Cricetulus griseus: one gene and its partners. The protein of the gene in region 3 interacts with the protein of the main gene of each other region in a pairwise test. Links are inferred from orthologs where the notes say so. Each region holds a gene or a part of one and is shown on either strand. Other genes may lie near its edges.

Region 1 (2,838 bases), on a different chromosome or scaffold from region 3:
CTTGGGACATAATGTGTCCAGTTATATTTGAGCCTAGGGCAGTGACACTTCACTTCTGATGTGCTGCCCAGAGCTCTGAAGGTGGGAGTTCCCAAGTCCAAGGTCACTAAGCAGGGTAGGGACTAGGCTGAAGTGCTATGTAAACTATTCACCTTGCATGGAAATGTACAGAAAACCAGCCATCAAGTTAGATATCAGCATTTAAAACATCAAAAGTAATGCAGAGAGAGGCAACAAACAAAGTGTCAAAATTCTGCACTTGGATAACAGTGTCCCACTTGGACACTGTAATACTGGCCCTGCTCCCAATAAATCTTTATAAAAGCAAATAGGTGCCAGAAAGACAGGGGGCTTTGCCTATCATACAGGCTCAAACATCTGTCTCCAGACTTTGCTGTCTTATGAGGGCTGGATACCTACTGTTTCCCTTGTGCATCTGGGGTGTGACAGTCACTCTACCCGTCAGTCTGATAGGCTTTCTATGTGAAAAGCTGATTTGGGGCTTTTCAATTCCCAAAGATCACATTGAGTCATCATTCCAAGTGCACGGGGACCAAGGCCTTTTCCAAGGAGAAGAAACCATGGAACCCCAGCTCATCGAGAAGCAATGTTTTCTGGCCCCTGTGCTGTGTAATTGGGACATAGAGTAGCATGGATGATGTGGCCTCCAGAGGGTGCCCTGTGGGAGCCGAGCTAAGGATCAGCCATGCAGCACAAGCAGGAGCCTCCAAACTCGAAATCCCACAGTGGGCGCAGAGAAAGACACACAAGGAAATGAAGGTGGGGGACCAAACAGCTGAGGCACTGGGTAGGGATGTGAGATGCAGACCCTTGTTCTGTGCCTATTAAAAGCAGGGTGCACCTGTAGTGAGGCAGATGTTAAATAGATGAATACAGACAAGGACAGAATAGTAGGTGCTTTTCATAGTATGCTTTCTTAATAAGAAAGATGTAAAGGATTTGTAAATCTTGTAGGAGGGATGTTTTTTGTTTGTTGGTTGGTTGGTTTGTTACCTTCTCAGCTTAAAGAGAAAATGTGCTGCTGAAGGATCTACCTGCCTGCTGTCCTGGTTAGCTCTAACTCAATTTGATAGTCTAGAGTCACATGTGAAAGCAGTCTCAGCTGAGGGCATTTTGACATCAGATGGGCCTTCCTGGGACTGGGGCAGGGATTGTCTGTCTTGTTCATTGATGTAGAAGAGCACAACCCCCACCGGGCATTGGTGGTGCATGCCTTTAATCCCAGCACTTGGGAGGTAGAGGCAGGAGGATCTCTGTGAGTTCAAGACCAGCCTGGTCTACAAGAACTAGTTCCAGAACATCCTCCAAAGCCACAGAGAAACCCTGTCTTGAAAAACCAAAAAAAAGAAAAAAAAAGAAGAAGGAGGAGGAGGAGGAGGAAGATGAGGAGGAGGAGGAAGGAGGAGGAGGAGCACAGCCCACCTTGGGTCACACCATCTCTGGGATTTATAAGCAAGTCAACTGAGCAGGAGACCAAGATTGCCAGCAGGAGGCATCCTTCCTGGTTTCCGCTTCAAGTTCCTGCTTGAGTTCCCTCAGTGATGGGACTGTGACCTGGAAGGGTCAGCCAGATAAGCCCTTCCTCCCCAGAGTTGATTTATCTCAGAGTGTTTCATCACAGCAATAGAGGGAACTCAGAAGCTTGCCTTGAGGGCTCCTGGCTGGAGGCTCTGGCTCTCAGTGTGTTGCAGGAACTTAGGGTCAGTTCCCCATGACCCTGAGATAACCTGTCCTGAGTGTAATGTGACCCTTCACCACCAACACCCCAAGAATGACAGAAATATACACAAGAGCAGAGGTCTCAGCAATCAGAGCAGCCTTGTGCTGAGTGTGGGGTCTTTATTCTTCAGGACTCCAGGCTCTTATAATGGCCAGCAGCAGAGAGAGCAGAGCAGGGATGAGTGCTGCCCTCAGCCACACCTCCTGCAGGGGTCCAGGGTGCAGAGCTTCCTTCCCAGAGCTTGGATTGCTTCAAAATGTGCATTCTGGGAAGAAAAGAAAGGTCAAGGTGAATGGGTCATCCCCACCAGGGTTGCCTGGCTTACAAGACCAGCACCTGGCTGCCTTCTTCTGGAGTCACCGGGCAATGTGAACCTTCCAAAGCCTGCAAGAGGCACTGTGCATCCTTGCTGGCATCACCAAGCAAGATAATTGGACCTCTGGTGGTCCTTGCAGGGGTAGTGAGATAGTACCTGGAAGGGAGCCAGAGCCAAGTGACCTGCCAATCTTTGGGCAATGGCCAGCTCCTGCCACTGCCTCTGACTATCCTCAGTCCTCCCCTGGCTCTGCTGAAGGAGAGGAGCCTGCCCATGGCACACCTCCATTCAGCTGGGGCACTGTAGTCTGTTACCAGGCCGTAGTGCACATCTGGCCTCTTTGGGTGCCAGCCCAGGAAGGTGGCTTGTAGAGATGTGACCTCTTAGAAGGTGAGCCAGCATTTGGTTGTGACAGATGGCTCACAGTAGGTGCCCCACTAAGATGTGGTGGGTTAGGCTTGGGTAAAACAGGGTTGGCAAGACACCCATGTGCCTGGACATCTGCTGTTTGCACATGACCTAACCCAGCGATTCTCAGGGTATTTGTCTTGCAACACCCTCCCTTCCTAGAGAGGGTAAGAGAGGCAGGAGAGCAGGGAGGAACAAGGGCACAAGCACAGTCATCTGTCCACTGATCTGCTGTGAGCATGTCAGGTGACAAGGAACTATAGATGTTTGATAAAAACAGGCTCAAAATCAGTCCAGTGCCACAGCTCCATGGTGACTCTGCTTCACACCAGTTTCCACCGTGTGTGTGTGTGTGTGTGTGTGTGTGTGTGTG
Region 2 (3,570 bases), on a different chromosome or scaffold from region 3:
TCCTTTTTCTCCCAGGAAATCCTGCCTATACCTCCTGCCTAGCTACTGGCTAATCAGCTTTTTATGACACCAATCACAGCAATACAGCTTCACACTGTGTACAGATAGCCCACAAGTCTACCAACCCTACAGTCTACCAACTACAGTCTACCAATCCTATAGCCTACCAACTACAGTCTACTAATCCTACAGCCTACCAACCCTACAGCCTACCAACTACAGTCTAAACTACAGTCTACCAATCCTACAGTCTACCAACTACATTCTCCAATCCTACAGCCTACCAATCCTACAGCCTACCAACTACAGTCTACCAACTACAATCTACCAACCCTACAGCCTACCAACTACAGTCTAAACTACAGTCTACCAATCCTACAGTCTACCAACTACAGTCTACCAACTACAGTCTACCAACTACAGTCTATTAACTACAGTCTACCAATCCTACAGTCTACCAACTACAGCCTACCAATCCTACAGTCTACCAATCCTACAGTCTACCAATCCTATGAGGAAGGCATGATGGGAGTGACTGTTCATGGCAGCAGGAATACGAGACAATTGTTCCTCACATGACAACAGTCTGGGAGAACACAGGCTATAACCACAAGTAGGTACAACCTTCAAGGCCCATTCCCACTGACACGCTTGTACCAGCCAGGCCTCGGGTCTCAGAGGCTCCACAACCTCACAGAATAGATTCACCAGCTAGGGACCAGGAATTCAGACACAGAAGCCCGTAGAGGACTTTTCACACACAAACCATTATAGATCCCAAAACAAAAGTTAGACAACTATATGTCCACAGAGCTTCTGCCACAGACAGAATAACATCCATTCTCAAAAGATCCTTTTACTAATGACTGTCATGGCCTTTCTCTAGAGTCCTTTCAACTCTGCTTCACCACAGCATACTGGTTACTCAGAGGCCACAAGGAACACTGCATCAGAGGCTCTTAGGTGGCCAGCTTACCCAGATCACAGGTCCATTCCCAGGTCTTGCCTGCTGTTTCCAAATAGGTACCTACAAAACAGAGGACATTCGTGAGTCTCATTCAAACCCGTCTAGATTCTTTATACCACCAATACACTAGTAAGTAATAAACTATTCCTTAGTGGACTGGGGAGATGGGACAGCAGATCTCACACACTGGCCGCTCCTGGAGAAGACCTAGGATTGCTCCCAGCACCCACATGGCAACTCACACACTGGCTGCTCCTGGAGAAGACAGAATGCTCCCAGCACCCACATGGTAGCTAATAGACATCTCTAACTCCAGGTCCAAGGGATCCAAGCCCTTCTTCTGGCCTCTGCAGGCACAGTGCACACAAGGTACACAGACCTGTATGTAGGCAAAGCACCTGTAAACATTTTAAAAAATTAGCCAGGCATAGTTGCACATGCCTTTAATCCCAACACTCAAAAGCAGAGGTAGGTGGTCCTCTGAGTTTGAAGCCAGTCAGGGATACATAGTGAGACCCAATTTCAGGATAAATAGATAAATTAAGTTAAATTCTGAAGTCAAAAACGTTTCTGTTTCTAAGCAATCAAGGTGAAAGAATAAAATCTAAACCCTACGCGCAGGCACCCTGCACAGTGAGAGTTCACAAGAACTGAAGATACTGCAGTGTTCTCCAGAGAGCAAGGGGCCTGCACCAGGAAGCAGAGGCCAGGCGGGGTCAGTCCTCAGTTACTCATGAGCCCTCTCTGCATCTCATCTTCTTCACGGATTAGGTGGAGAAAGTTAGCAGGTCACGGAGGCTCGTGCCTGAAATCCCAGCCTCAGCTATGTGATGACTGTGAAGCTAGTGGGCTGAGATACATGCGACCCGTCTCCAAAACAAAAGTAAAGTCAATAAAGTAAAACAGAGAAAGTCGTTTAGACCCTGCCTATTTCATAGAACTTCTAAGAGCCCCGAATGAGGCAACGTCCACAAAAGTGTTTGGAAATCCCAAAGGGCTACTTCTAATGCTCCCTGAAAGTTTACTCCAGCTCTATTCAAACTTCAGACACAAATCTTTACTTCAAATCAGAGTTATATGGCTTAATTATACAATTAAAAAAGCCCCAAGCTAGACACAGAGCATGCCTATAAACCCAGTACTCAGAGGGTCCCCACAAGTTTGTGCCCAGCGTGGTCTACACAATGGGTTCCAGGTCAGCCAAGGTCTACACTATGAGACTCTGTTGCAAAAAGCAAGTTGCTTGTGCATTCTACATAAACATGCCATTACATACTTCATTACCTACAAGCAAGGGACCAAATTCTCCTGAACCAAATCTAATGAAGAAAAAGAAAGCTGTTTGAAAGGCTGCTGTTACAAAGCACATTTGAGAACAGAATAGCTTCCAGACTGCGCTGAGCTTCTGATGTCACCGCCATCACTCACCAACTTACCATCTTCTTCTCATTTGATATGAAGACAGCGGAACACTCTTCCAAGGGATACTGGTCATGGGTTTTGATGTATTCACAGAGCTTCCAAATGTTCTCCTCGCTAAAATAAAATAATTGTTTAATCCATATCATTGGAAAGGACCTTAACCACCTCATCAGAGAGCTGGGTAACAGTGACTCTCCTCTAAGGCACAGTCAACAAGCTGCTAGCCAACCTGTACTGTGCACGCATCCAGACAGAGGACCACACCCACTGAAGACTATGACCTGTAAAAGAGTGTGCCAGGATTCCAGAAGCTGAGAAACCATTGGGATCCAAACTCAACACTAACAAGAAAAGCAGCTTTGTATTCTGTCTTCTCTAAGAACCGCTTGTCTCCTCTATAAAATGCACGTTTTCACGTACACCATAACCCTCCAGAAATCCCAATTAATAGAGAAATGTCACAGGACTTTTTTGTTTGGTTGTTTTGGTTATCAAGACAGGGTTTCTCTGTGTAACTGACCTAACTATGCTGGAACTCTCTCGGTAGACCAGGCTGGCCTTGAATTCAGAGATCTGCCTGCCTCTGCCTCTGGAATGTTGGGCTTAAAGGCGTGCACCACCACCGCCAAGCTCTTGACAGAATGTTTTAAATTAGATTTGATATAGAATTTAGTCCCTTAGTTGTAGCTGACAAACTATATGATGGCATCTTTATGCAGACTGCGTCCCCTCCTTCCCTCCCTCCCTCCCTCTCTTCCTTCCTTCCTCCCTTTTTGAGACAAATGTCTCATAATGTAGACCTTGGCTGACCTGGAACTCGATGTGTGGACCAAACTGGCCACAAACTTGTGGTGACCTTTTGAGTACTTGTGAACTACAGGCACGCTCCATGTGTGGTTTAGAGCCTTGTTAATTGCATAATTAGAGACAGACAGACATGAGAGACATACATACACACACTACATACATACATGCATGCATGTTTCCAAGCACTCAACGTCAAGGTGAAGGCGTGTGAAGCCCGCTCCTAAGCGCAGGCACCCTGCACAGTGAGAGTTCACCAGAACTGAAGATACTGCAGTGTTCTGCAGAGAGCAGGGGGCCTGCACCAGGAAGCAGAGGCCAGGCGGGGTCAGTCCTGTCCTTCCCATGAGATCTCTCCAAATCTTTCCTTCTTCACC
Region 3 (4,087 bases):
ACCCACAGAGTGGGAGAGAACAGTTGTCCACAAGTTGTCCTCTGACTTGCACATGTACAGCACACATGTGCCCATATACTACACGAAACAAATGTTTAAAAACATGCTTTTAAAGACAAAGGTTAAAATCAGAACCAAAGGTGGGCTCCTAAACGCATCCTTCAGGTTTTTATAAACAGTTCAGCAGAACTCTTAGCATGTTCATAAGACAGTCTGATCTGCTGTTCGGTTTTGTTGCTCTCTCATTCTTCCATCTAGAATAAAGCCATTGGTGCTATTTAAAGTGGGTATGCCCTTCCTTTTGGCTTCCCTTCCTGGGGTTCACCTTCCTAATGCCTGGCCACAATCATTCAAAGTGTTTTTCTTTCCACTTATCAGCAGTGAGACTGGTTGTCTGTGGGGAGTCTCTGTTAGCTCTAGGAAGGGGATAGACAAAGTGGGCATCAACTTACTGGTAAGGAAAGACCCACAGTCAGGTCCAAATCAAACCTTCAGGAAGACTTGGGGTTCTGAGATGTACAAGGGCAAGGCAGGGCAGAACGGGGGCAAGTCGGGGAGCCTCACTCACCTTGTTGTACACATTAAACCACTCAGGGTGGTGGTCCAACTTTTCCGCCTGAAGGGCCACTCTTGTCATGAAGCCAAAAGCCTGATAAAAAGAAGGAAGACCCAGACCTTGTCATGGCCTAGATACAGGAGGATAGCCTAGCTTCTTCCAGAGACTTCTGGAGCTCTAGTCCTCTCCCCTGTGACATCCTGCCCCTGATCCTGAGGCCTGTGATAATGTTACTAACATCCTCTATGTGGTACAAACAGCACAGACTGTTAGTATTTGCCAGTTTTTTGCTGTTTATTGAAGTGCCTTCAGAAGGACATGTGCTTGTTATCCTTTGGAGAACTGTCCTTCAAGGACTTCGAGTTCCAGGAAGGCAGGGTCCAAGGCCCTTCTCTTTGCAGGTCACTTGGATATGTATTTCCCCTTGCCTAACAGGACATGGCATGAACACGGAGTGTGCCCTGGTAAGCCCCCAACTCCACATACCCTGTTGAAGTCTTTAAAATGGAACTGTTTGAAGATGGCATCCCGGCCTTCCAGTTCATTCCACCCCACAGCCCTCAGATTTGGCAGCAGCTGGTCCCGCTCCTCCGCACTCAGCCTGTGTGCCTTGCCAGCCTAGAATAGAGAACAGAGGCCCCGGGGCATTTCTATTATAGGTCAAGAACATAACCCAGACCTTTGGGAGGAATTCAACTGGTGCTGGCTGCGGTGGATATAAGCGCCCTGTAGCAAGCAACAGACGTATAGGTTTTCAGAGAAGTGTCCTGCCAGGAGGCGGGGTCTGGGCTGGTTTACTGATAGGCTCTTGGGTCCTATATTTGGTTTGGGGTTTTTTGTTTGTTTGGTTTTTGGTGTATGTGTTTGTGTGGGTGTGTGCATGTATGTGTGTAGAGGCCAGAGGAAAATGTCAGATGTCATTTCCAAGTATCATTTGCCTTTATTTTAATTAAAAATTGTTTCATTCAAATGTTTTATGTGTAAGGGTGTTTTAGTCTTCACATTCTGGTGCCTGAAGAGGCCAGAAGAGTGTGTGGAATGCCCTAGGACTGGAATCACATGTGAGCTGTCACGGGAGTGCTGGGAACCAAATCCAAGTCCTTTGGTTTAGAAGCCAGTATTCGTAACCACTGAGCAACTCTCTCCCCTTATTTTTTTAGACAAGTTCTCTCACCAAGTAGGCTAAGCTGGCCTGCATTGAGCCTCAGCGATCCATCTATCTCTGCCCCCCCAATGCTGGGATCATAAGTACAAACTAACATTGAAAAAGCTCTTCCTCAGGTAAGAAGACCTGTTCCAGGCCAGCACTGGGGCCTACAGACCCATCACTGGTATGTGTGCTCTCACAAACAAGGGGCTCCACCTCATCACTCTCCTGCACTGACAAGGGATGGTTGTAGAGAAGACAACAGAGATTTCACTGTGGTTAATCAGGAGGTCTTTCCAGATCTGGTCCTTCCGATGGTTGATAAGCTGGCCCCTTGTAATCACATATCAACCAGGTATCAACAGGGCACCAGAACCCACTGAGTTTTGTTTGTTTGTTTGTTCCTCCCAAAGGAGTGGTGAGTATAGGTGGACTGGTGGGGATGTAGGGAGGTGTGGGAGAGGATGGGGTGGTACTTTCTCATTAGAGTTTTCCAGAACCTCCAAGTCTTAGAATGACAGCGCTCTGAACTCTGGGGTCAGAAGGGTAAGGGCCTTGTTTGCTTAGCAAAGCTCTGTCAGCCTCTGGCAGTGTGGGCCCAGGGATTACTGATTATCCAAGCCTGTGTCTTTGGTCCCCAATGACCATTCCCAGGCCACAGCTGCCAAAATGCCTTCCCAATCCCCGACTGTTCCAAAGGAGGTGCACAGAACTGTGTTGTTTGGGAAGAGTTGCTGTGTCTAGCACCCCTTTCCAAAGGACCTGACCCATCTCCACACCCAGGTGGGACACAGAATTCCAGCTAGGTGCTAGGGCGGGGCGCGAGGCCGGGGACCGCACTGGGGTGCAGAGAGAACTGAGCCAGCAAGATCTAGCACCCCAAGGGACCAGCTAGCCTGTAGGGTCAGGACCAGGCCATGGAGATCCGCCTTCCTGCCACACCCAGCCGGAGCCCGCCAGCAGACAGGCCAGGCTCTAGTCTCTCCAGGCCTGCCACCGCTGCCACCTCCCCTATCGGCACCCCAGCACCCCTGAGGGCAAAGTGACCCTAGCCCGACGTGCCGACACTGCCCGCACCCTCAGCATCGGAGCCCTCGCCCCACTTCCCGATCCCCGCTTAGGGTCCGCCATACCTCCTGAGCTTACCATGTCCAGGGCGGGTAGCAGGTGGCGGCAGAGAGGGAAGGGAGAAGGAGAAGCAGCCGGCAAGCAGCAGGCCACCGCGGGGGCGGGGCAGAGATCCGGCCGCTGCTGGGTAATGATTAACGTGGGTCCTCCTTGCTCCACGCCCTTCCAGCGCTTTCTATGCCCTGGGCTCTGTGAGCATGGCTGCGTGATGGGCTCCAGGGCAAAGACTTTGGCTCCTCACGCTGCTGTCTGTCTGCTGGAGGACTCTGAGTGCCAGACGGCCTGACCTGTTGTTATAACAACGACAAAGACAAAAGCCACCCAGATAAATGTGACACACACTGAATTGCACAAAGGTAAAGTGCACCGTTGTAACCTTCCTGGCAGAAGAGAGGATATCTAAAGGGAGACACTGTGTCCCTCCACTGAACTTGTCAGACTATTGAAACAATGGACCCCCAGAAATCGAAATTGCCCTAGGAATCTTGTTAGGAGAAGGAAAAGGCTGAGATCTGGTGCCAGCCAGACGAGAAACCTGTCTACTAAAAAGATTTTATAGCATTCTGACAACTTGCCAGACCATGTTGAAGGTGACCAATCCTTCACTGCAACCGCTTAGTTAGGCATTCTCCTGCCCTCGAAGATGAACTTGAAGGATCCTGGACCTCTTGGCTTCTCTTCCCAGTGTGGCCGTATCGAATACAATCACCACCTTGTTCTGCATGCCACTGTTTTAATTTTCAAAACGATGTATGTATGTATGTATGTATGTATGTATGTATGTATGTATGTATTATGTATGTGTGAGTTCGTGTGTGTGTGTGTGTGTGTGTGTGTGTGTGAGAGAGAGAGAGAGAGAGAGAGAGAGAGAGAGAGAGAGAGAGAGAGAGAGAGTTTATGTGCACAGTATGCATGTGGGTGCTATGGAGGCCAAAAGGGAGCATTGGATCCCTTGGAAATGGAGTTACATGCTGTTGTCAGCTACCTGATATGGATGCTGGAAGCCAAATTCAGATTATCTGCATGAGCTGTAAGAGCTCTGAACCTCTGAGCCATCTCTCCAGCCCCTCTGCGATGACTTGTCTCTTTAGTTGGCACAGAGACAACAGGTGGCCGGGTCTGGCTTGTTAGGGCTGCCAGGGCCCAGGCTCTGACCCTAACAACTCCAGTATCAGGGTGAGACATATGCTTCTCTTAGGAAACCATAGATGAGGAGCATCAGCTCTGAAGTTTCCTTGTGCCACCTGGTACCCTCT

What was found.
Region 1: the proteins of Pcbd1 (region 3) and Tff3 interact in binary tests that used the Homo sapiens proteins (3 or more experiments, as listed by UniProt). The two-hybrid records come from large-scale screens. The link is inferred for Cricetulus griseus from reciprocal best matches to the Homo sapiens genes PCBD1 and TFF3.
Region 2: the proteins of Pcbd1 (region 3) and protein N-terminal glutamine amidohydrolase interact in binary tests that used the Homo sapiens proteins (3 or more experiments, as listed by UniProt). The two-hybrid records come from large-scale screens. The link is inferred for Cricetulus griseus from reciprocal best matches to the Homo sapiens genes PCBD1 and NTAQ1.

The regions. Positions count from the first base shown.
Region 1 is NW_023276806.1:259,488,033-259,490,870, forward strand, and holds the end of Tff3 (trefoil factor 3), read right to left. Parts: intron 680-2,838; coding exon 534-679; downstream 1-533. UniProt on the Homo sapiens protein: Involved in the maintenance and repair of the intestinal mucosa. Promotes the mobility of epithelial cells in healing processes (motogen).
Region 2 is NC_048603.1:29,479,114-29,482,683, forward strand, and holds part of protein N-terminal glutamine amidohydrolase, read right to left. Parts: intron 2,504-3,570; coding exon 2,404-2,503; intron 1,028-2,403; coding exon 977-1,027; intron 1-976. UniProt on the Homo sapiens protein: Mediates the side-chain deamidation of N-terminal glutamine residues to glutamate, an important step in N-end rule pathway of protein degradation.
Region 3 is NW_023276807.1:344,754-348,840, forward strand, and holds the start of Pcbd1 (pterin-4-alpha-carbinolamine dehydratase), read right to left. Parts: upstream 2,835-4,087; coding exon 2,781-2,834; intron 1,175-2,780; coding exon 1,043-1,174; intron 650-1,042; coding exon 569-649; intron 1-568. UniProt on the Homo sapiens protein: Involved in tetrahydrobiopterin biosynthesis. Seems to both prevent the formation of 7-pterins and accelerate the formation of quinonoid-BH2. Coactivator for HNF1A-dependent transcription.